Linked DNA regions of Struthio camelus. The protein of the gene in region 1 purifies or fractionates together with the protein of each later gene. This does not show direct contact. Links are inferred from orthologs where the notes say so. Each region holds a gene or a part of one and is shown on either strand. Other genes may lie near its edges.

Evidence for each region.
Region 2: the proteins of ZC3H4 (region 1) and WDR82 purify together in Homo sapiens (affinity purification with western blotting; 4 studies listed by BioGRID and IntAct, with this or other methods). This does not show direct contact. The link is inferred for Struthio camelus from reciprocal best matches to the Homo sapiens genes ZC3H4 and WDR82.

What each region holds. Positions count from the first base shown.
Region 1 is NC_090957.1:304,396-315,712, reverse strand, and holds the start of ZC3H4 (zinc finger CCCH domain-containing protein 4), read right to left. Parts: upstream 5,473-11,317; 5' UTR 5,141-5,472; coding exon 4,980-5,140; intron 1-4,979. Other genes in the region: SAE1 (SUMO-activating enzyme subunit 1), read left to right, coding at 5,822-5,922, 8,434-8,545, 10,186-10,359. UniProt on the Homo sapiens protein: RNA-binding protein that suppresses transcription of long non-coding RNAs (lncRNAs). LncRNAs are defined as transcripts more than 200 nucleotides that are not translated into protein.
Region 2 is NC_090955.1:22,932,895-22,944,344, forward strand, and holds the start of WDR82 (WD repeat-containing protein 82), read right to left. Parts: upstream 5,221-11,450; 5' UTR 4,968-5,220; coding exon 4,807-4,967; intron 1-4,806. UniProt on the Homo sapiens protein: Regulatory component of the SET1/COMPASS complex implicated in the tethering of this complex to transcriptional start sites of active genes.

The DNA.
Region 1 (11,317 bases):
CATACCTTTAGGATAAACATCTTCTGCCTCAAGTAGAGAACAAGAGAGTTTATAAAGAAGTTGATTTTTTCCACGAACAATCTGATATGTTTGCCAGCACACTCCATGGGGGAGAAAAGAAAATCACATGACAAATTATAATCTAAGATTAGTAAAACCAGGTGAAAGCTGAAAATTAACAAGAAACCAACTGAATGAGCAGTACACTTGAGTGGGGAGTGGAGGGTTTTTTTTGTGAGAACAGATTATTCCGGTTGAAAGCAACTCTCCATTTATGCTATAACCTATTTCAGAACAAGGTTTAAAAACAGATTCCCTCCCAGTTTTGTAGTATGTGCAAAAAGGCAGGGATATTGTGTTGCTTTTTTTATTGTGTTGCTCCTCCTTTAGGGGGAGTGTGGCTCTTTCACACAGATATATTGTCTTCACTTATTCTCTGATTTAAGGCTGTCAGAGGCCCTCCTCACTGGAGCACACAAGGCTAGGATTTTCAAAGTAACCTACACTTCCAGCTAAATGTCATTAATCACACACGTAATGCTTCAAAAACGGCTTAGCATTTGCAGATACCAGAACTGTACTCCCCCACTAACTTCCTTTGCTAAGACAGAACACGTTCTACCAAAGAAAGCATCACACCTGCACGCTCCTAAGCCTCACCTACAGAAAACTGTCCAGAGATAGAGCTCTTCTTTCACCAAAACACTGACACATTCCAGAATAACCCCAAAGGAATTGGAACTAAGCTGAACCTCTTCTTTGCTCCATCAGTGTGGCCATCTCAAATTTTATTTCAAGTGGAAATCAGGGAAAAATACATCCACCAAGAAATAAAAGAACAACCACTTTTAAGATAGCAAGGCCTCCAGAATGAGGCATACTGTGTTATATACAGACTGTTTGGACTGGGGCAGAAATCATTACAATTTATCAGCCTTTTTTAAAGCTATCTTCTACTCAGTGTTCTTTCATTATGGGACATGTATAACAAATATGTTCTATCAATTCACTAGAAAGGAAGCTTTGAGAGACATCCTTCTAGGCCGCTTAAACCTGAAATAACTTCTGACACGGACACTTCTAGTCTGCAATCAAGGCAAATTCTACTTTTATGCCCCTAAAAAGCCCACGTTTTTTGAGAGACATTTATACTAAAGGAAAGTTTCAAGCAGCTATTTAATCACAACTCAAGATTTATTTGGGAATGTGCTTGACTCAACTGCTAATTATTAATGCCATTTTTGTTTGGAAGTTGGCTCCTTCCCATTCCTACTTTTGGATCCTTCAGTGAAATCGTAAGGCTGAGCTGTGACGTCCTTTTCACTGCCACTGCAAGGCTGATGTCACAGAAACGGATATGTCAAAGGTACTGAAAAAGACACTTGGTCTGGGGTTTGCTTTAGCCATTCTTTAACTAGCACAACAAAGCCTGGCTACCAAAGGAGCAAGGCAGAGGGCAATACCTGGCTCAGCACAGATGAGAACCCTCACACTGACCTCTCTAGGTCTTCCGATTGCAGCTGAACAATTACAGATTTAAAAAATGCCCCTGAAAAAATTCTGGCATGCGCTTAACTTTACTACCAAAAGATGCTCTGGTCTCCACGGAACTGTTCACAGTACTAATGTTAAATACATGCCTCTATTTTTGCGTGATTAAAAAGGTAATCGCTAGCAAATCTGGAGTACTAAAAATGGTTCTGCCTAACTAAAAAAGGGACAAGAGTAGCAAGATACTAGAAAAAGAAACCCCAACCAAGTTTAGAGATTTGACTCCTCTTGCTAATATTTAACTATATAATAAAAACGTATATTCACTTTATGAAATTGCTTAGCCATTCCTCTAAACTTGGAAGTACAGTCCCTTAGCACTTCTGACATTAGAGCAGTTCCTGGGTCTTTCATACAGTTATACTACACTCCCTCAAAAAGCAGAAAACTAACCTAAAATTTTCCAACAGCCTACTTTTTTTCTATTTCATCTGCCCTTTCCAACTCATCCTGACATGCATAAAAATTGCTTATGACACTAATCAGCAGCTGACAGTGAAAAACCATTTGGGATTTTGATCGTATCAAGAGTGGAAGTATAAAGCACAGCATGTATGTACATTTAGTAAAATAATTTAGAGGTTTAGCAGAATAAAGCTACTAATTGAATGCATTAGGGAAAAATCCATGCTATGAGGCCCCACTCTTTCTGAACTACCAGAGCTAAAAACTTTTTGGCCAGGCCAGTAATATTTTCAAGCTCTGACGGTGGACCTTTGATGAAAGGAAAAAAAAATGTCAAGCTTTATGACTTCATGGCAAAGTTAAGCTGTAGAAGGTGGATCAGTGGATCATAAGGGAGAAAGGTCCCACTATAAACACTTAAAATAGTAACAGAAAGGCATAAAACTAAAAGACATCACTGGATATTGTTTTATGTTTACTGCAGCATGAAAACCCCTTTCTAAAACACAATAAAATTTGTAACAAAAAGTCCTCTACTTATTTTCTATAACGAGTGCTTGCATTATTTCATAGTCAAGGTTTTAAGCAGATGTATACACTTTTTTTTTTTTTAGTGAATGAATTAAAAACAAGAGGGAAACAAAACAGTACAAATTCACACAACTGTGTTTGTGTGCTTACAGGAAACTAACATCGCTTCTTCCACCCGTGAAAATGTAAACTGGATGAAATACTCCAGGGCAAAAGTGTGTGTTTTTGCTCTACATGAAAGAATAACCTAAGAGTCAAAAATAATATGCTGAGGGGAGAAAATACCAAATACTGTGCATGGTGTTCTTACTTATATTTTGAATCATGTAAAGAACCGTGAGGAACAAACTTGTAAGAACTTTTCATAACACACCTGCTTAACAAAGGAATAACAAAAAGAAAAGTAGAAGAAAATCCAGGACACTAAAGAGATTCTTACAAACTGGGTGCTTACACTGTACGTTGCTATTTGTCCTGCTTAAACTTCTCTAATTATCAAATATGAAACTGTACATGGGGATGGGGGAAAAATGTGTGATGACATTTGGGAAACAGTGCTTTCTTTGCCACCTTTTTTTTTTTTTTACACACTTCTGAGTTTGTTAACAAAACTTTTTAACAACTTTTCTGTTTTATGGGCAGACCTGCACCCAGGGGTAGCCTGTTTACTGTCAACGTAATGGAATGAGGATGGAGTTTGTAGACAAAGTAATGGATCCACATCCTATGTCTAGATGGCACCAAGGGTCAGAGTGGTATGACTTTTACTGAGGTATCTCAGTGCTACTTCACCAGGAAACGTCACAACAGACATATTTTGGAGTAAATTGTGTGCTTTTGTGACTTTTTTTTTAAACACTCACACTGGCAGGGTGCACAACTCTATATCAGTCAAGTCATTACAAAGGGGGAGAATTCTGCTTGGTTTGTACACACATTGTATTAACTCATTCCTTACATGAAACGTATCCTAAAGATGATCTCAGGACGTTTTTTGGTGCGGGGGAAAGAAACAAAAAGGTATAATTTAATTATTCAATAAAAGAGAATACTTACCAACCCAACCCTGCATCATAGGAAAAACAAAACTCCTTAGAGACAAAGGCATGCTAATGTATAAAAGCAGCTCTCTGTACCGCACACCTGCCTTCCAGGGGAGTGGGAAGGGGGCAAACCTCTCTTTTTTTTTCAGACAAACATATATGATTAAGCTGTTTATTTTTGTGCACTACACAATACTTTCTGGCTATAGGGTTTCCAATAAAAAAGTGCTAATAAAGTCTAATAAAGGAAACAGCTGAAGTTATGTTTTGGGGGGAGGGAGAAGGTGCTTTACATACATCTCTGAGGAAAAGAGGAAAGAGGGTTTCCTGGGGGATTTTAAACTTTTCAATACCTTGACATAATGGGACCACTTGAGATTCCAGCTGTGGAAGTGAGTCTTTCTATATAAAGGGGACGAGGGAGGGCAAACAAGGGTATCACTACTCAACACATCCCATACCATGCCAGTGCCTAGAAAGCTCCACATTGCAACCCCAGCGCCTTTCTGCCCAGGCCGCACTCCCTAATGCCCCAGCATAGCCAGGAAATTTTAAGAAGCAGCTGAAGACAAAGGGGACATTAATGAGGCCAGTGCTGCCCAAGAGAATAACGTCATTAAAGACCTCATTAAGGACCCCAGAAAGCCTTCCCCTGACCCTGCCCAGCAAGTGGGGACCCATCCCCTCGCAGCCACCCCCAGCCCAGGCTCCCTGCTCCGGCCCTCAGCCCCAACTGGGCCTGCTGCCCACCAGCCCCTGGCCTGCTCCCTCATCACGCCCCGCTGCCTGGGGCCCCCCGGCCCTGCGCTGCCCCCGGCCCCGCGCCCCCACCGGGCCCCTGCCTGAGCCCCTTCCCCTGGCTCTTCCCAGCCTCGGCCCCCTCCCCCCGGCCGCCTGGCTCTTCCCAGACCCGCTCCCCCCCCCCAAACCCCCTGGCTCTTCCCAGATCCTCTCCCCCCCGGCCCCTTCGCTGTTCCCAGGCCCTGCCCCCCCCCGCCCAGACCCCCGGCTGTTCCTAGGCCCTGCCACCACCCCCCCAAGTCCCCCGGCTGTTCCCAGCGCTGCGCTCCCCCCCCCCCCAGCTCGCTGCCTGGCCCCAGCCCTCGCTCTCGCCCCTCTCCTCCTCCTCGGCCCGGGCCCTGGGGACCCCCCGAGCGCTCCTGCACACTCTCGCCCCCAGCCCTGCGCCCCCCGGCCGGGCCTACCCCCCTGCCCGCCTCGGGCCTGCACCCCGCTAAGCCCTGGCTCCCCCGCTCACCTCAGACCCTGTCCCCCCGCCCGGGCCGGTGGCTCTCGGGCCCCGAGGACCCCCCCGCCCCGGCTGGCCCCCCACCTCCTCCCGGTCGCCCGCGGCCCGTCCCTGCCCGCCCCCCCCCAAACCTGGTCCGGCGAGCCGGACAGACAGACACAGACAGACAGAGAGGCTCTCGGGAGAGGCGGTTACTGGACCTTTCGTCCGGGCCGTGGTGGAGTTGGAGCGGCGGCGGCGGCCGGGGGAGGCTGCAGCTGCCGCTGTCGTGGTGGTGGCAGGACGGAGATGGGGGGGTGGAGTGCGGGCTGGGGGGGGAGGCGGCGGCGGCGGGGGGGACACTCGGGCTCTCCACGGCCATGGGCGGGGGGGGAGAGGGGGGAGCACACGGGGCACAGTCACTGTACAGAGCGGGGGTCGGCACGGCCCGGCTTTCCGCCTGCCCCGCACTCCACGGGAAGGCACACAAAATGGCGCCCGCCGGCACGCAGCCGCGCCGAGGCAGCGCCCCACACGGCCGCCGGAAAGGCCCGAGCGCCGCCGGAAAGGCCCGAGCGCCGCCGAACGCCCTCCCCCCTCCCCCTTCGCCGCGGCACGCACGGCCGGACGCGGAAGCAGCCGGAGGTTGCCGAAGGATGGCGGAAGCGGCCGAGCCGAAGCGCCGAGGGGCAGCGGGAGGAGGCGGAACTTTCCGAACGCAGCCGAGCGCTGGCGGAAAGTGCCGAAGAGGTCGGGCAGAACCAAGTGCACCGCGGCGGGAGGGGGGGGAGCTGCGCGAGTGAGCGCGCGAGAGGCGGCGCCGAGGCCGAGCGCGGCGGCCGCCCCCCCCGCGCAGGGGGCCGCTGAGGCGGGACGAGCCCTCGGAGCGGCTCTCTGGCGGGGGGGGATACGGGCGGGGCGCGGGGCGGCGGGGGCCGCTCGGCCCGGGGCGCTTCCCCCCCTCCCCTCCCGGCGCGCCGCGGTGCCGGGCGCCGCGCAGCGCCCGCGCGGGCCGCCAGGGGGCGCCGCCCGGGCGCGGCGGCCGTGAGGCGGCGGCGGCGGGATGGTGGAGAAGGAGGAGGGCGGCCCCGGCGGCATCAGCGAGGAGGAGGCGGCGCAGTATGACCGGCAGATCCGGCTCTGGGGGCTCGAGGCCCAGAAGCGGTCAGCGAGGCGGGGGGCGGCTCGGGGGAGGCTGTAGGGGCCTGCGGGCGGGGGGGCCCTTGTAGGTGTCGGGGGTCCCTCAGCGCTTGGGGGGGGGCGGCGGCATTTGGGGGGGCTGTATTGATTTGGAGGGGCGCTGAATGGGTTTGGGGGGGCTACAGCGTTTTGGAGGCCCCTGCAGCATTTTGGGAGGCTCTGTGGGGGTTTGGGGGCTCTACAGCGGTTTGGGGGGCCCTGCGTGGGTTGATGGGGGCCTTGCAGTATTTGGGGGGGCTCTGCAGGGGTTTGGGGGACTCTACAGTGTTTGAGGAGGCCCTGTAGTGGCTTGGGGGGGCTTGTATGGGTTAAGTGGTCCTCACAGTGTGTGGTAGGGGCCTGTAGGGGCTTGGGGGGGACCCTAATGCAGTGACCGCAGTTACTGTGGGGTATCTGCAGGAGGTTTGCAGGGGCTTGAGAAGGGTCTGTATAGCTGGTGGTGTGTATGGGGGCATGCGAGGTCTATAGGAGCCTGTGGAGGTCTAGAAGGTCTCTAGAAGTCTCAGGGCTCTGGGGAGCTGAAGAAGGAGGAGATGGGGTTGGGACAGTAGGAGATGGGGGAGGCAAGGCTTGGGGCACCTGGGAGAGGGGTTTGGGGAAATGGGGGCCCCAGGAAGGAAGCTGCCAGTTTGGGAGGCAGTGGCTGGTGTTGCAGGGGGTGGCAGGGTAGCATACGGGGTGGGAAAGTGGGAGGAGGTGCTCAGGGAGATGGTGGCAGAAGGGCAGGAGAAAAACCCTGTGGTGGCCCGGCGTGAGATGTCGATCTTTGTGCTGCTGCTGGCACCCTGAGAGAAGTTTTAAACCTCGTCTGTGGAAATCCTGGGCAGTTGCCCTGCTTGTGCACGCATCACACATGTAGGACAGTGTTGACAGAGATGTGGGAGCCCTGGCTAGCAGCTGCCTGGGAGACTGCTTGGTTCTCCAGCCACACACAGTCGCTGTGCAGCAGGCTGGTGAGAGCTGTAAGCTGTACCCCTTTGTGTGTCCCTAGTTCCTCACAGTTCCTGCACAGTTCAGGCTGGAAAATCTTACCCAAACTGGAGCCCAGTGATAATGCACGTTTGGTGAAAATCGTGCCTCCTTAGGTTGAAGATAACAAAAATATTGACCGTATCTACAAGAGAGTCTGATCCACTACTTAGTTTCTATTGTTAAAGTCTTCTCATTCATTCCCAGCTGGGATTGCCGAGCATCTGCTTCCACCTGCTGGTTCTCTGCTAAAGAGCCTCTTATTCAGCCCATATCTTCTCTGTGAGGCCTCTTCAGCTTTCAAGTTATCTTTGCAGCCCTTTACTGCAGCCTGTCCAGGTTTCTGCCAGCTTTAAATTTCTTAGATGTTACCTTGAAAATAGCAATAGTATGTGTATGGGAGAAGATGGAGCGGACCTGAAATAGGGGCACAAATATAATGGTGCTGCTAGATGCAGAGTGAAAGCAAGCATGGAAATAGACCGTGAGGCCAAAAAGCACCCATCAGTGACCTCCTGACTTAACTGACCTACATGATAGAGCCACTCTATTTAACACTCTGGATGATTACTTATTAAGGTAGTCTAAATAAACTTGATTTTGTTAGAAAAACAATGCAACCTAGTCAATCAAAAGAATGCTAAGGAAAAAATTATTTAAATTGATTTTAAAAAGCAAGGAAAGTCAGCATTCAGCTATTCTGAGAACTTAGAAATTGCATACATTAACTTGGTCTCATAATAAATATTTGCAAAGAAATAATTTCCATTAATTATATCATGCTATTAATTTTATATATATCCCAATCAGTTGGCATGTAACCCAGTGCACCTTCAGTGGGTGAGGTTGAGGTCCAGGCCTCAGCTGGACTATTAGAATTTGCTATTAGGAACCTCAAACTGTGGTGTTGTAGTGAACCTGTGAGTCCACCCCTTGTTCTCTGAAAAGCAATACGAGGCCTTATCAGTGCATACTGATTTTAGTCTCTCTTTCAAAGCTGCAAATAATCTATTTTCTGTGAATTATCTGGATTACTGACGCCCAACAGCTCCCATCTCTCTTCCTTTTCTTCCGTATCAGGTATCGTGGTTAAATCTATACCTCTACTCTTTTCCCTGATGCTGCTGTGAAACTTTCAGGTCCTGCCAGACATGTTTGGCTCTCCTGTAATGATCCTGGGCTTCTCCCATTTTGCCTGGGCCAAGTGAATATTTGGCTGTAGCTCAACTTTCCCCACGGTTCAGGACTTCTGTGAATGCCCAGCATGCATATCTGCCTCCTTAGTTAAGTTTTCCCAACTGGGAGGTGATGGTGATTTCGGAGGCAGTGGTTCCATCCCTGGTGGCAGGGATGCTACTTTACTAGCGCAGCTTTCCTCTTTGGTCATTGAATGTATTTTTCACCCTGTTGTGTTTTGTCCGTGAGCACTGTGGTTGATTCCCCTTCTCCCTGGGGACGTGGTGCTCCAGTGAAGCCGTTAACGGTGACCAAGTGTTTCCACTGCAGGTTACGAGCTTCCCGGGTGTTGCTGGTGGGGATGAAAGGCCTTGGAGCAGAAGTGGCAAAGAATCTCATCCTGGCAGGTGTCAAAGGCCTGACCATGCTGGACCATCAGCAGGTGGGAGCTTCAGGCTTCTCTCTTCCTTGTGGCTGCAGTGCTGGCCAGTGGGGGGTGAGGGGATGGTTAGCAAAGCTCCCAAAGCCTACTGGGGACTGGTAGGTGTGTGGAGGGGGTAGGGTGTCTGAGCTCGAGGACTTCTTCATTGCTTACTGGAGTAGGGGTTTTGTGGTGGGGGTGTGTGTATGTGTATGTCTTTGGGGAGGGGGTATAGGGGGCATGTAGTGTCTGTAGAGAGAAATCCCATACCCGTGCACTTTTAGTCATTGGTGCGCCTCCTTATGACAAGCATGGAATTAAATTTGAGAGAGGCATAAGCAGACTGTACTCATCTGCACTCTGTCAAGCTGAGGGCTGAGCTGCAGGCTCCCCAGTTTCTCCCCTGCTATCTTGCCTGCAGACATGTGGCTGTGTACCCTGATCTGAGAAGCCTGTTCTCATAGTCTCGCGCTTATTTCTGGGAGTGTGTGGCCTTTCTCTAGCAGGTCTCCACCCAGGCCTCTCCCCTCTATCTTGGTCTGAACAGCCCCTTTCTGTGTTTATCTAGGGCTTTGCAGGTGTTTAACAGACTGTAACAGTGTGTGAAAAGCAGCTAGGGCTCCGCTCGTGCCTCGGATCGTGCCTCGGATCGCATGGAACCCGGGCCTCTAAATAGAGTCTGTGGTTGAGCGTTTAGTCTGCCTCTGTCAAATGTGCAGCAGGTTTCTATTCGTGGTCCAGAGCCTTGTGCCCTGCAGTTCACTCTGCTGTCACAGGAGATGGGAGGCCCAGGGATGACTGAAATTGGTAGGTGCCGCACAGCGTACGAAACCCTCCTCTGCGTTTGGAAGAGGCGCAGGCAAGGATGTGTAAGGTGCTCAGGGAGCCTTCAGCAGGGTTTGAGGGATGAGCATTTGAGGGATTTTGTATGCATAGTGTTTCTGGTGCGAGTTTGTGGCAGTACTGGCTGCTCCAGGGCCAGACAGAGCCGGGGGGGGGGGGGTTGTGCAGGAGCCTCAGTTGCGGCTGCTTGTTTTTCCAGTGAGTGCAGCCGCTAGGTCGCAGTGCCGGACTGCTGCAGCCGTGGTGCCCGCTGTGGTAGCTTGGTGTCTCCTCGGGCACAAGAGGGAGCTCTGAGCTCAGGAGCGGGCGAAGTGATCTGCAAGGTCTGAGAATCGGCCTGGGAGCAAGGAGTGCAAAAAATGTGAGGGTGCTGCCTGCTGTTTGTCCTGCCTGTTCCTCTGAAAAGCGGACGTGGAGACCTCTGTTGTTCTTGAAGCAGAGATGAATACTTGGTGCAGTTGAAGGGTTATGAAGGGAGAACACGTAAGGAGGGATCCAAGCGGTCACTGTGCAATAGTATCTGCTGGAATGGTCCCATCTTAAAAACCTCAAATCTGCCCTTCCTTCCTGGAGAAGGCAGTGGTCCTATCCCTGGATCCTTCCTCCTAATGAGACTTTTCTCTGGTTATCTTGCAATGAGCCTTTTAACACTCCTGCTGCAAGGATAGCACTGGTTAGCTGTCCCTTTTCAGCTATGTGAGTTCCCATTTACAATGTATCTGCTGTAATTCTCCTGTGGGTGTTGCTGCCCTGTGTGATTCTGGGAACAGTTAACAGCACAGGGAAGACTCATCTCTCTCCATTTTCTCCTATTTCAGGTTTCTCAAGAGGACACTAGAGCTCAGTTCCTGATCCCTGTGGGTTCCTTGGGCCGCAATAGAGCTGAAGCATCTTTGGAGCGGGCGCAGAGTCTCAATCCCATGGTGGACGTGAAAGCTGATCCTGAGAACGTAGAGAACAAGCCAGAAGAGTTCTTCACCCAGTTTGATGCAGTAAGTGCCATGAGGGGAAAAGGTCAGAGGAAGAGAGACTTAGCAGTTGTTGACTTACCTACAGTTAAGTTGTATTGGTTGGTCTTAAGTTGTCTTGAACTGATTTGACTGAAGTGGTACAAATGCTTGTATGAGTGCTCCTGCATCAGTTTAAAACTGCTACAATTCAGTTGCATGCTGAGTCACCAAGGCACGTTTACATCTGTGAAAATATTTCTTCATGGTGGTTTGTATTGATATGTTGGACTCAGGAAAAAAGCTTTGAACTGGTGCTGGTGTAGCATTGTTGGGAGAGCAGAGACTAAATGGTGAGGGAATAGGAAAAAGAATTTGAGAGCAATCAGAACCATACAGGTCTTGGGACAATACCTCGCTAATTGCTCTTTTTGTTCTGGACAAGAGTGGTTACATTAGCTCAAAGTTTTGGGAGTAAAATATTGGGCTGTGTATCCTTGAGCCTCATGTAGTTGAGTTTCTGCAGAACGGCTTGCTTAGCGTGTGCATGTTTAGCTGCTTCTCAGCACAAGTTGTAATGCTGCAGTTACAGGTTGGTCTGGCTGATTGTTCATAAATGGCATCTGTTCCCCTTCTGGTCTCTGTAGGTTGCATCAGACAGTGGCTGCCTGCTGACAGCTTTCTGGGTGTGATGTGATAGTAATTCTAGTAACTGCAGTGTGCATGTTTTCCCAATTCTGCTCTCTGTGCTCATATTGGATTATGAAAATCAGACAGCAGCTTTGAAAGGAAGAAAGCAGACTGTCTTGGGAGAACGAGGAGCACATCCAGGTCTCACCGCTCATGTGAATCAACTGCCTGTTCCTGTCTTCTCTGGTTGACTGCAGGGTGTCAACCTGAAGCTGGCAGATGGGGGGGGGGGGGGGGGGAATGTAAGGGATTGTGCTTGCAGCAAGAAATAGCTGTTAAGTGGGACATAAAGCTCTCTGACTATTTAGTAATA
Region 2 (11,450 bases), on another chromosome or scaffold:
AGCTTAGAAGCTCTATTCAGAATAAAAAGATAGCTTACTGGGAAACCCCATTACAAATGGAAACAGCTAATGCCAACTACACAGGTGCAGCTACAGCAGCATAAAAACCTGGCGGTAAGGGAGACTACGGAGGAGTAAACAAAAGGGGACTGGAAAGAGCTGAACTGATTAACCAACCTGAGACAACAGTTAGGAAGAAGGAGATGACACCAGACCGATTAGCTGATACTGGCTATGCCAATCCTGATAAATGAAAGGACAGAGAGTGACCCTGGCCCAGAGGCTGTTTCAAGCAGCCTGCGTCCACGCTGCCGAGGGCGGGCAATACAGGTGGCTTGTCTTGGAGGAAGCGAGTTGGACTGACCCAGAACAGAGCCAGCGAGCGAGTCAGCAGTGCTGACAGATGATCAAGAGTGTGCGTGCCTGCCGCTGCAGCGGAGATGCACTCATTAGCTATATGAGTGAAACAGCAGACAAAGAAGGTACAATGTAGTAGCAAATTACTGAGGTATTCTTCAAGCTGAGCCCTTGGATTCATCTTCCTGGCAGTATGCAGAATGCAGAGACACAATACCTTTGAGCTAAGCAACAGCTTAACTAGCCAAAAAAAAAAAAGAAAGAAAATAAGGACTGTACTAAAAACCTGGACAACTTTGCTGTGTTCTAGGATAGACTTGGCTTTTCTCTCTCACACGTTACATTTTACAATTGTAATTTGCTGCTGGCGACTGGACGAACCAGCTGAGTTTGCAAATTTCTCTCTCCACGCTATTTAAAATAGTGTTGTAAAGAATACCCATACATACACATGCATGCTTTGAATTTGAAAAATACCATGACATGCAGCTGACTTTCTTTTTAATTTTTCATTTAACTGGGGAGCAGCAATCCCTTAAAAACCTGAGAATACAGATGGCAATTCCAAAGAGCCAAAGACAAGCAAGCATTAAAGAACATATATAAAGATATTAAGACACATAAGAAATAGACAAAAGAACATTTACCCAAGAGAAGGAAAGTGACTTTTTCATTTTCAGAAAGGTGAAGTTTCCATGGAAGCTGGCAAAAGCAGAAGCATGAAACTTTGCACACAAAACCGTCTGTTTGTAATTTACTATTTAAATACACAAAAAGGAAAACTCCAAGTCTTGCGTATTTTTTAAACAAGCCACCATCACTAAACATAAGTCCAAGTTTAAGGTTAATATAGCCAGCCCACTTGCAAATCAAGCAATATCCCTAAAGTAAAATGGTTTAGGAGATAACTGTCAAGTCTGCTATAAAGAATAAACAAAACACAGGCAACGTCTGTAGGAAGTAACGTCTGTGCCTTGGTTTTAATCCCTACAGGTAGAACAGACACAGCTGTCACACCAAACCAGGCTCACTAATATGTCCACCGAACACTATGGTTAAGCAGGAGTCAAGATGCATCAGTGCTCTCCAGAAAGAGAAATACTGGATTCTTCTATCATACTACGCTTGGAATCCAGAACAGTGACCGTATCACCAAAGCAATTTTAGAAGCTGTAAAGACAGAAGACCCTATTTCCAATCAAAGCCAGTTGGTCTGAGCATAAATAACATGCAATCAATATATACTAAAATACAAGCTAAACGCTTGCTAGAAAACCATTATATCAAACCAGGATTATGAAATTTGCGACCACGAGCCTCTTGTTCCAAATCGAGAGCTGCTGTAGACCCCAACATACGATTTTCTTCTGAAAGCTTTCAGAGCTCGTTGTTAAGCCCTAACAGATGTAGGTAAGCCTCTTGGTTTTATGCTTTGAGCCAATCTATTTTGAAGTTACTTGTTAATACACAGTGGGTCCAAATCACGAGAGTAATTGTTCACACGTTTGGAAATACAAGTGGACTCTCAGCTCCAAAATTATTGTACGTTCATGAAAAAGGAACACTAATTTTTCAAGCTTGTTCCCTATGCTCAAAATATAAACTATAAGGGAGTCTGTTTCAAGGAGAGAACCTTATCCTGTCATTTCTTGGCTAAGCACAGCTGTTTAAACTAGCCTAACACATTTAGAAATGGAAGTACCCTCAGATGGGCTTGCTTGTATGGGCTATTAAGGTACAGCAAAGCACAGCAGACCAGGCAAGCGCATACTTAAAGTGCAACTAAACAAAGTTGCACTTTTAATTCTATCAGCTGAGCTCCTAATAAAAGGAATGAAAACCCCCAAATGTTGCCACTGTTACACTGAGAAAAGTTCTACCATTTAGGCCATCCTCTGCTGAAGTAGGACTCATTATACTGAAACCCAGCAGGCAGAAAACTGCCTTCTGTCAGCCCTTAGATTCATTAGGAATGATATATATAAGAAGGTGAGAGATCCAGACCCTTGAAACATTGGTTTGTTTAAAAAAAAAAAACAGGAAAAAAAGGAAAAAAAAACTAACTATTGGCCAGAATCTGTCAAACTCCACCACATCACAACAATAATCATTCACAGATTCAATTTTTCATCTCCACATGAATCTCCTGTAGAGAAGTAATTCACAGCTAAAACTTTCTAAGATGAGAAAAAAGCGTGCCCCGCATCCCTAGACATCTCTAAAAACCACATTTATGGTTTTAAGTCAATTGATAGTACACGAGCAACTTTCAAATTAATTTTGCAGCCGCTAGAGAAACGCATTCTGAAACATGGGTTACCTTGCTGAAAATGCTCTCATTGCCCTGTAACACAGACGTAAAAGATCGATGGTCTATTACTGCAAACTTCATTGAAACAAATCCTTTCACTGTAAAGCATACATCAGGACTAGACGGAGATAGGAATGAAAGGACCAAAAGCCTTCCAACCCATCAAATTGCTCTTTACAAGTTGGAAAGGGGAAGAAGAATCAATAGTATCTGCATTAACATCACTCAGCCCTTCTACTACTGTATGTAATTAGGATCTAGACTACTATCCATAGCAGATAGCATTCATATTATGTTACCTATTCTTATATAAATAAAAACTAACTCCTCTCAAATCAAAGCTCACTGCATCAGGGAGTGGCAAGAATGTTAATTTGTAAAGCAAGCAAACTAAACAGAAGTATAAAACAACATACAACAACAATTCTACAAAATAAAGAGAATAAGCAGAATGCATTCTTTCCAACACAGCAAGCGCAATGTCTTGGTCTGCTTGAAAACAGCAAAACGACTAGGAATACCAGGCTTACTGTAAAACTTATGCAACACTGACACCTCTGTCTCCTTCTTCTCCCTAAGCAATTTATTTTCCACTCCTGTATTGCTGTGCTGCCCCATTCATTCTCTCTCCTACAAACTGCATCCTCTTTTTCTTTTATTTGATATGTGAATGTCACGCTGCCTGCTTGCATCTCCCCAAGACTTTCCAAAAAACAAAAGCCCCCACAAAACTCAAAAGTGCATCTCCACAACAACAGGAAAGTTAAAACTTAAACACAACTTAAAAGAACTTAAATGAGCCAAACACATACTTGTGCCAAACACACAACGACTTACATGCAAAGAAAAGCTGTGATTGCAACATTCTCAATTTTTAAAATCATTATTACATGATGCACCAAAGGGCCAAGTCTCTTTGGTTTCCCAAGCTCAATTCCAGGCCCAGTAACCACCCCTCTATGGCACATTAGAGCTTTTACTGAAAATCAATACTGTAAACATGCAAATACATTTTTTAAGCAACTCTGAATTATCCAAACACCAAGTTTTTAATGGAATAATGACATCATTGGCTCAGTTTGGTCCAACTCTTACAGAAGAAGAAATGTCTTCTTTTGCAGACATTCCGAGACACAACCTACAAAAGTTACTGATTGCCTTGTCTGCATATTTGCATCCCCTGATCGACCAAGAGAACCATATTTCAGGGGCTGTGCGAATTACTGCTTTTTATCCAAAAGATGGGACGAGGATTGCATGAACAGTGAAAGAAGATAACTGCACAACTCTGTTCAATGAAAAATAAATACCTCTTAATTCATTAATAATTCATTAATAACGTCAAATAAGATCAATCAGTAAACATCTTAATTGATTCAATATGAATTTAGACAATTTCTGAAGATGCATGTAAGTCACATACGTATCTTAACTGCACTTCATAGATGAAGAGGTGACTAGAAAAAAATTAAGATTTAAAGCACAGAGAATCACCTTTACCCACAACACTCCCAGGTATCATTTAGAAACTACGTTTTAATGAAGACGTCACAGAGCTTCTGAAAGTTATTCTGGACACATACCATGCCACCCTCATCTTTAAGTTTAAGTACTTAACCAAGAAGCCACAGTTGGACTAACTACTTAAAATGGCACATCTGCACATTGCTCACCGCAACTGCCTCTATTTCACTTACTGAGATTTAAACCCAGACCAGCCTGAGAAGTCAGTTTGCCCACCCGTGACAATACCGAGGCCTAGACCTGCCACCAGATTCAAAATCCTCACCTTAAGCAATATTCATTCCTCGTAGCTAGGAAAACGCTCCAACACCCAATTACCATCAGTAGCTCTGGCCTAGCGAAGGGAGCGAGCAAAGACAAGCAGACAAACCTGACAGGACTGTGGTGCTCCCACCTCCGCGCCCCACCTTAAGCGTTTATAAATATTTCCTGTCACGCACTGCTGCCCGTCTACCCACGAGCTTAAATTTAGCCCGAGAACAAGAAAGAAGAAAGGACATCACCCAAGCTCAGCAGCCGGCGGGCAGAGAGCGGCCACCGCCGGCCGCCCCGGGGAGCCCCATCCCGCACGGGGGGCGGCGGCGGCGCCGCCGAGGGCCCGGGCCCGCACTCACTTTCCCTCCTGGCAGTCGTAGAGCACGATGGAGTCGTCGTCGCTGCTGGAGATGACGGTCTCGCCGTTGGGGCTGAAGTCGAAGCAGTTGATCTTGTCCGAGTTCTCGCGGAAGACCTTGGCCACGCGGAAGCTCCGCAGCACGTTGTCCGTTAGCTTCATGCCGCCGCCGGGCCGCGCCGAGGGCGGCGGCGAGCCGGGCGGGGCCCCGCGGCGGCGGCGGGCGGCGGCCGGGCGCGGCGCGGCGCGGCCCGGCCCGTCGGCTTGGCGGGGGTGGGGGGCGGCGGCGGCGGGGGGGGGGGGGGCGGCGGGCCGGGGCGGGCGGGGGGCGCCCTCCGGCGGGGCTCGGCCCGGTCAGGCCGCGGAGAGGCGGCTCCTCCTCATTGTGTCCGCCATCTTGCTGCGCCGGGAACGGGCGGGGGCGGCGCGCGGGGCACTGTGGGATGGAGGGCGGGAAGGGGGGGGCGCGCCGCCGCGGGGCGTTGTGGGAAGGCGGCGGGCCGCGCGCGCGGCCTGCTGGGATAGAGAAGGGCACGGAGGTGGGGGCTGGCGGCCATGTTGAGTGTGGCAGCAGGGGCGCCTACCCTCCCGCCGTGGGGCGGCTGTCGCCCTCCCCCTGGCCGGCGGGGCCCGGGGCGGGACGGGACAGGCCGGTGTAGTCCTAAGCACACAGGGTCCACGGGCTGAGCCTTGCCTTCAACGCCAGGGTCCCCCAGGCCGCGCGAGGGGCGCAGGCAGCCTGCGCCTGGGGGGACAGGGACACCCCGGGGCGGGGGGGGGGGGTGGCCGCAGGCCGCAGGCAGGGCCGGCGCAGCCGGGGTGTGGGCCTGGCTGCCCGCGGGGAGGGGGGGGGGCAGCTCCTCTGTGCCCCGGGGCTAACGTCCACCCCGAACCGGGGGCAACGCGTGGGCCGGGGGGGGGAGGGGGGCTGGCATCGCGCCCCGCTGGGCCTGCCCCGCGCACCCGGCCCGGCGGCGGCCCCAGGCGTCCGCGCCGCCGGGGGAACGTCACTTCCCGCCGCGCTCGGCCGGCCGGCCGCCTCGAGCCGCAGGTGGGCCGCCGCCGCCGGCACCGGGAGCGCCGGGCAGGCCCGGGCAGCGCGTCCCGCTCCGCTGCCCGCAGCCCGGCCGCCTGCTGCGCCCCGGCTCGCCTGCCGGCCTCGCGCAGCTGCTCTGCTACAGGGGAGCGCTGCTGCGCCGCGGCCGGCCCGCCGCCCGCTTCGGCTCGCCCCCCGCCGCCTGAGACCGTGGCGCCTTACGCGCCTCCCCCCCCCCACTTCTGCGGGGGTGCAGCTCCCATCGCGCGCCGGACGTGATGGCGGGTTTCGGGCCTGGCGCCGCCTCAAAAACATAAGGGAAGCTGCTGTGGCAGTGTGGGTTTTGCGGGTGAAACAGGTGCAAAGCGAAGGACGGTTAGCGTGGCGGCTTCAGCAGCGCGCCTCGACGTTTGTCCAGAAAAGCCGCGACAAAGTTTTACTCCACGAATAACCTGCCGCGTTCGCTACCGGCCATGTCTTTCGCTAGGGGTTTTGTTCCGTTTTGCTCTGCCCGCTGCTGGTGAGGAAACGGGAGCGAGGGTGCTCGGGGTGGGCTGCAGCTGCGGAGCCTGTACCCCGGCCCCAGCGCTTCCCGCCAGCTCCCCGCGGTGACCGAACGGGAGCGCTTCTCCTCAGGCCTCCTGCTCTGGAGTGAGCAGGACGCGGCTCTACCCCGCAGCGCGCTTCCTTAGCCTTGAGGCTTAGCTCCCATATTTATCTGCACCCGCTGTGAGAGTCAGACCCCCTTTCCTTTAAAATGCACAGTGATGATGTTTTTTCTCATTCTTCTGTTCTGTTTCCAGTTAAAGTGTTATAGACATTGTCTTATTTCCCACGATTTTTTATTCTCCGACCTGGCCTCCCCGCACTATTGCAGAAATGCTAGTGCTATACCAACGGACGGCGTAGGACTTCAGATGGGGATGAGCGGCACAATCTCCAGGGGCTTCCGAGATGTCTTGGGTGTTGCGGCCTGTGCTCCTGTAAAAAGGCAGTGGAATTGCTTTCTTGCTCTCGTGAGTCGTGATGTCAGGTTTTATGATCATGTTTTCAGACTTCTCATATCTTAAAGAATTGTTCTTGGAGTATAGCAATAGCTGTGAGAATCTTTAAAATTCCCCCATTAAAATTTCCAGCAACCCGGTATTTTAATTTTAGGAGAACAGCCAACCTTTCATTACTTGTGTCCCCAAGAAGCTTAGAACCGAAAGAAAGAAATGTCAACCCTAGATGCCTTTGTACATGTTAACTGCATTTTCCTTTCTTAGTCCCCAGAACAGAGTTTGCTTTTAGAATAATATTGCCCTCCTGTGGTCAAACAACAGCATGTCTGGGAAGTATCGTCAAAGGTCTGTTTAAATGTCATTGGAATAGAGTTAATTATTTCGTGTGCATATAGCTCATTTCCTAAAACAAAAGTCTTTTCTGTGCTTACTTGCTCTTACAGTTTCTTTATTACAGCTCACCGTTACAGATTTAGATCGCTTCCGGTCCAATTCACTCTTTTATATTCTGATCAGACTGGCCGGCCGGAAGGATTCAACAAGCTTTACTCTGAAATGAATACACGATTTTAACACTGGCGTCCACGAAGACTCAACAAAAGACACCTTCATTACTTCGGAAGGCCTCCGGGTCAGCTACCCCATTACAGGTCAGCTCAAAACCTAAAATATATTTTCATGTAAGGAAAGATTAAGTTAGAGAGGTGCAGAACAGCATTCCTCCTGCACACTGCAAATTATAAGATCAAAGCCTGGATTATCTCATGTGGGCCCAGCAGATGACTCATCGATACCATCATAAGACAATTTACTTCAAAACACCTACAATACTTAGCCAAGTTTTAGAGTTGTATAACACTGTGGGTTGTTGATTTGATATTTTGTCACTCCCTTTTTATTCTTTCTTCTGCCTTTCTTCCTAATCATTGGAACTTAGTTTGTCAGTTTATACAAAGCTGGAATTCATCTGGCAGGATAATTGGACCTTCTAGCAAAATGTCACATTATGTAGGAATTATGGAGAGTGGCCCTGCAAAACTAGTTAATAGAAAAGAGGTTTAATTGCTACTTGACTAATATTGATCAAATGCAGTGATGCTACCTATGCATTTATATGTTACCTACCACTGTAACCTGACCTGCGCAATACAAACAGTCCCGTGTTTGCATTTGCTCAAATGAATAGACATGAATTTCAGTGAGATGCTTCTGCTGAAACAACGCTGCTCAGGTGAATGCTTTTTTGTTGGACTCTGCTGTGGGTGATGATTCTCTGTGAGTGACGGGGTTTGAAGGCTTGTGTGGAAGGCTTGTGGCGCACAACTTGGCACCTCTTTATGGGCTTTTGAAAATAAGCATGAGGCTCTGGATCATCCAACCCTGTCCTTGCTGCTACATCACAGAAGTGTTGGTAAAAGGGACTTCCGGAGGTCCCTAGTCCACCCTTCTGCTCAGGGCAGGACTATCACTAAGGCAAGATCAGGCTGGCCATAGTTTTGTCTAGCCAAGTCTTTAAAACCTCCAAGGAGGGAGACCACGACCCCTCTGGGTAGCCATGTCCATAGCATGACTGACTTGCAAGGAGAGCACACTGGTTGCTCATATTCCCCTTGACGTTCATCCAGACCCCCTCTCTCCTTGTCAGCAGGGCTGCTACTCAGCCAGTCGGTTCCCAGTCTGCCTTAATGCCTGGGGGTCCTGCCCCAGCTGCAAAACTTCTCACTTCTCCTTGCTGCACATCACGAGGATTCTGTTGGCCCTGTCCTCGAGTTTATCACGGTTCCTCTGGCAGGTTGTTCCACCATTCAGTGTGTCAGCTACTCCCCCCAGTTAGTGTCATCCACAAAGTTACTGAGGATGCACTCTGTGCTATCTCCAGAAGCTTATCCCACCAAAGAAGCTGTGGGAAGCACGGACCCCCAGTATGGACGCAGGGCTTCCCTGTTCGTTACCGGCTGCCAGCTGGACACTTGAGCCACTGATTTCTACCCTCTGAGCCCAGCGGCTGAGCTGGTTTTTAGCCGGTCTAGCAGTATATTTGCCCAATTTCTTCAGCTTGCTAATGAGAATGGTGCCACAAACCTCACTGAAGTCAAGGTAGATTACATCTGCCACTCTCCCCTTGTTCCCATAGCCAGTCACCTCAGCCTAGAAGGCAGCTGTAATTGTAATCCTGTGACTGATTAATATTCCTGGCTCTTTCTCCTCTTATGTCATTTCCAGCTGAAGAGCTCATACATTTTTGCTATTAATCCCAAAGAGCATGACCTTGTATTCTGCAGTACTGAATTTCGCCCCCTTTCTATTATTCCAGTCGTCAAGGCTGGCAACTTTTCATCTTCTCTAGAATGCTATGATCCTCCTCTGTATTTTAAATGACTGTCAACTTTGACTGCAATTTGACTCGGAATAGGGAGCTTGAGGAATTGCAGCATGAAAGGAAGTAGACTTGGCACGGACTTGGCTTCAGGGTAGTACTGTTCCGCACTGAACTACAGAAGGATTTTTCTGGTCAAAATTTTTTCTTCCCCACAATCCCCAGCACATGGGAAAATCATTTTCAAAAGGTATATAGGGAGTGAAGGGAGTGTGACCTAGAAAAACTAGTAAGAGGCATATGTCAAATGTAGTTAATTTTTTTTGCTAATGATGCTGATCTATATATATAAAAAATGCTGAGCAGAACACTTATCTTCCCTGTGTTTGGCCTTAGGCTACATTCCCCATCAAAGGCAAAGAGACCTTGTTGACACTTTCCTGGTGAGCAAATCAGTCATGAGAGCAACATATTTCTTCTCCAAGAAACATACAGAAAACAGTGTATTGGAAATTAGGACTCCTGGGTTTCCAGAGCTCAGCATATTCTCGAACAAAGATACTCGGACTCCATCCTTTCTCTCTTGCTGGCCTAGCAAACCTGCTATGGAGCTCTCTGCTCTAATGGTACCACTTCTGCCCACCGTCATCCTCTTTCCCAGTGACCGCTGCAGGAGTGCCACGGTGAACAGAGGGGAAAGCCCCTGCACACCCGCTCGTGCACGGGACTCGTCGCATCTGAGCGGTGATCAGTTGGTCCCTCCCACCTGCAGATATTTTATCTTTTACAAAGTGTGAATGAGACAGTGTGGTAATTTTATGCAAATCCATGTGCGGATTAAAAAATAATCAAATTCTAAGATTTTTATTTGAAGAGATTAGTCTTGAAAAATCCCCCATCTAATCCTCCTAGAATAGTCACTTAGAACAAACCTTCATCTTCTTGTTTTCCTCCTGGGTCCTGTGCATCTCCCGGCAAACTTTCTCATAAATGCTTTTGGGACCATCTGAGGCAGCAAGTTTGAGTCTGAGCAAGGCTCACCAAGCGAATTAAATTTGATATATCAAGTGATAGAAGAGACGTGTCAGTAAATGGGAACGTGGGAGGTCAGTGCAGTAAAATCTGGACTCTGTTGTACTCCATAGGTAAACTCCCGTGATAATGCATGGAAAATGGAAGAGCTAAGCCTTGATGAGTCTAATGGTAATTTAGATACCAAGAGGCCAGAAGAAAGTCACGTAGCAAGAAAAACGAGTAGCAGGAGACTCTGCTAAGACTTGCTATAACTACTCTTCTACTACTGTAACAGGGATGTAATCTGTCTTCTGCTCAAATTATGCTTGAACAATTGGGGTTTGATCCAATGCCATCTCAAGTGCTTTCTGGTCCCCTCAGAGATTTTTGGGGTCGGCTCTGTACATGGTGGGCCAGCCACCAATCGTTGCCACATTGGGGGAAATCCAGAGAAATCCCAGTGACGATTAGAAGAAACCAACTTAGATCCATGAAGACAGCAGCTAAATTAGACCTCCCGGGACGTTAATATTCAACGTCCGCAGACCTTGCAGCACGTTTGCCCGTGGGGCTATGTGACTGGGTCAGCCTGCAGCAAGCCCGATTGCTTTGACTTCAAAAAAAACCCCCACAAGCCCATAATGCAGACTCTTGAGAAAAAGACCCTCCAAACACAGCTCTGCCCAGCAATGGCAGACTGGCCCCTGGAAGGGAGTATTTTTCTGACTTTCAAATACCTGCTGTGGAGTGAAGGGCTGGCTCATTTTTCTCATTGCATAGGCACAGCCAGCTCGTTTGTGCACTGTCTTCCTCCACAGTGTGAGTCCAGCTTTACGGCTCAGGCTATGCCTCCCTGTGTCCATGCCTTTGGTCTCATGCCACCATCCAATTTACCTGGCAGCTTACCATGTTTCTGCCCCTGGTGCTGGATTGTTCCTGTCTCCTTCTGACTTTGGCTCCTTGCCTGCGGAATTACTTTAATTAAAAAGTTAATGAAAGATAGTGCCAACAAGTGTTTTGCCTATATTTTAGCACACTCCAGCTCCTCTCCCTCCCTCTTTCCCAGAGAAGGTGAAAAATCAGGAGCTAGGTGTTTGCTGCCTTTTGCTGTGGGAGTTAACAGTGGAAGTTACTGCAGACTTAGGAGGAGCCCTGTGAAGAAAGGGCACTCACGCTTATAATGGTAATGCATGCAAACAGGAATGTAGATGGCAAACATTATTCATTAACAACAGCTGAGGGAGTTTTCATTTAAAGGGGATTAATCTAAAACC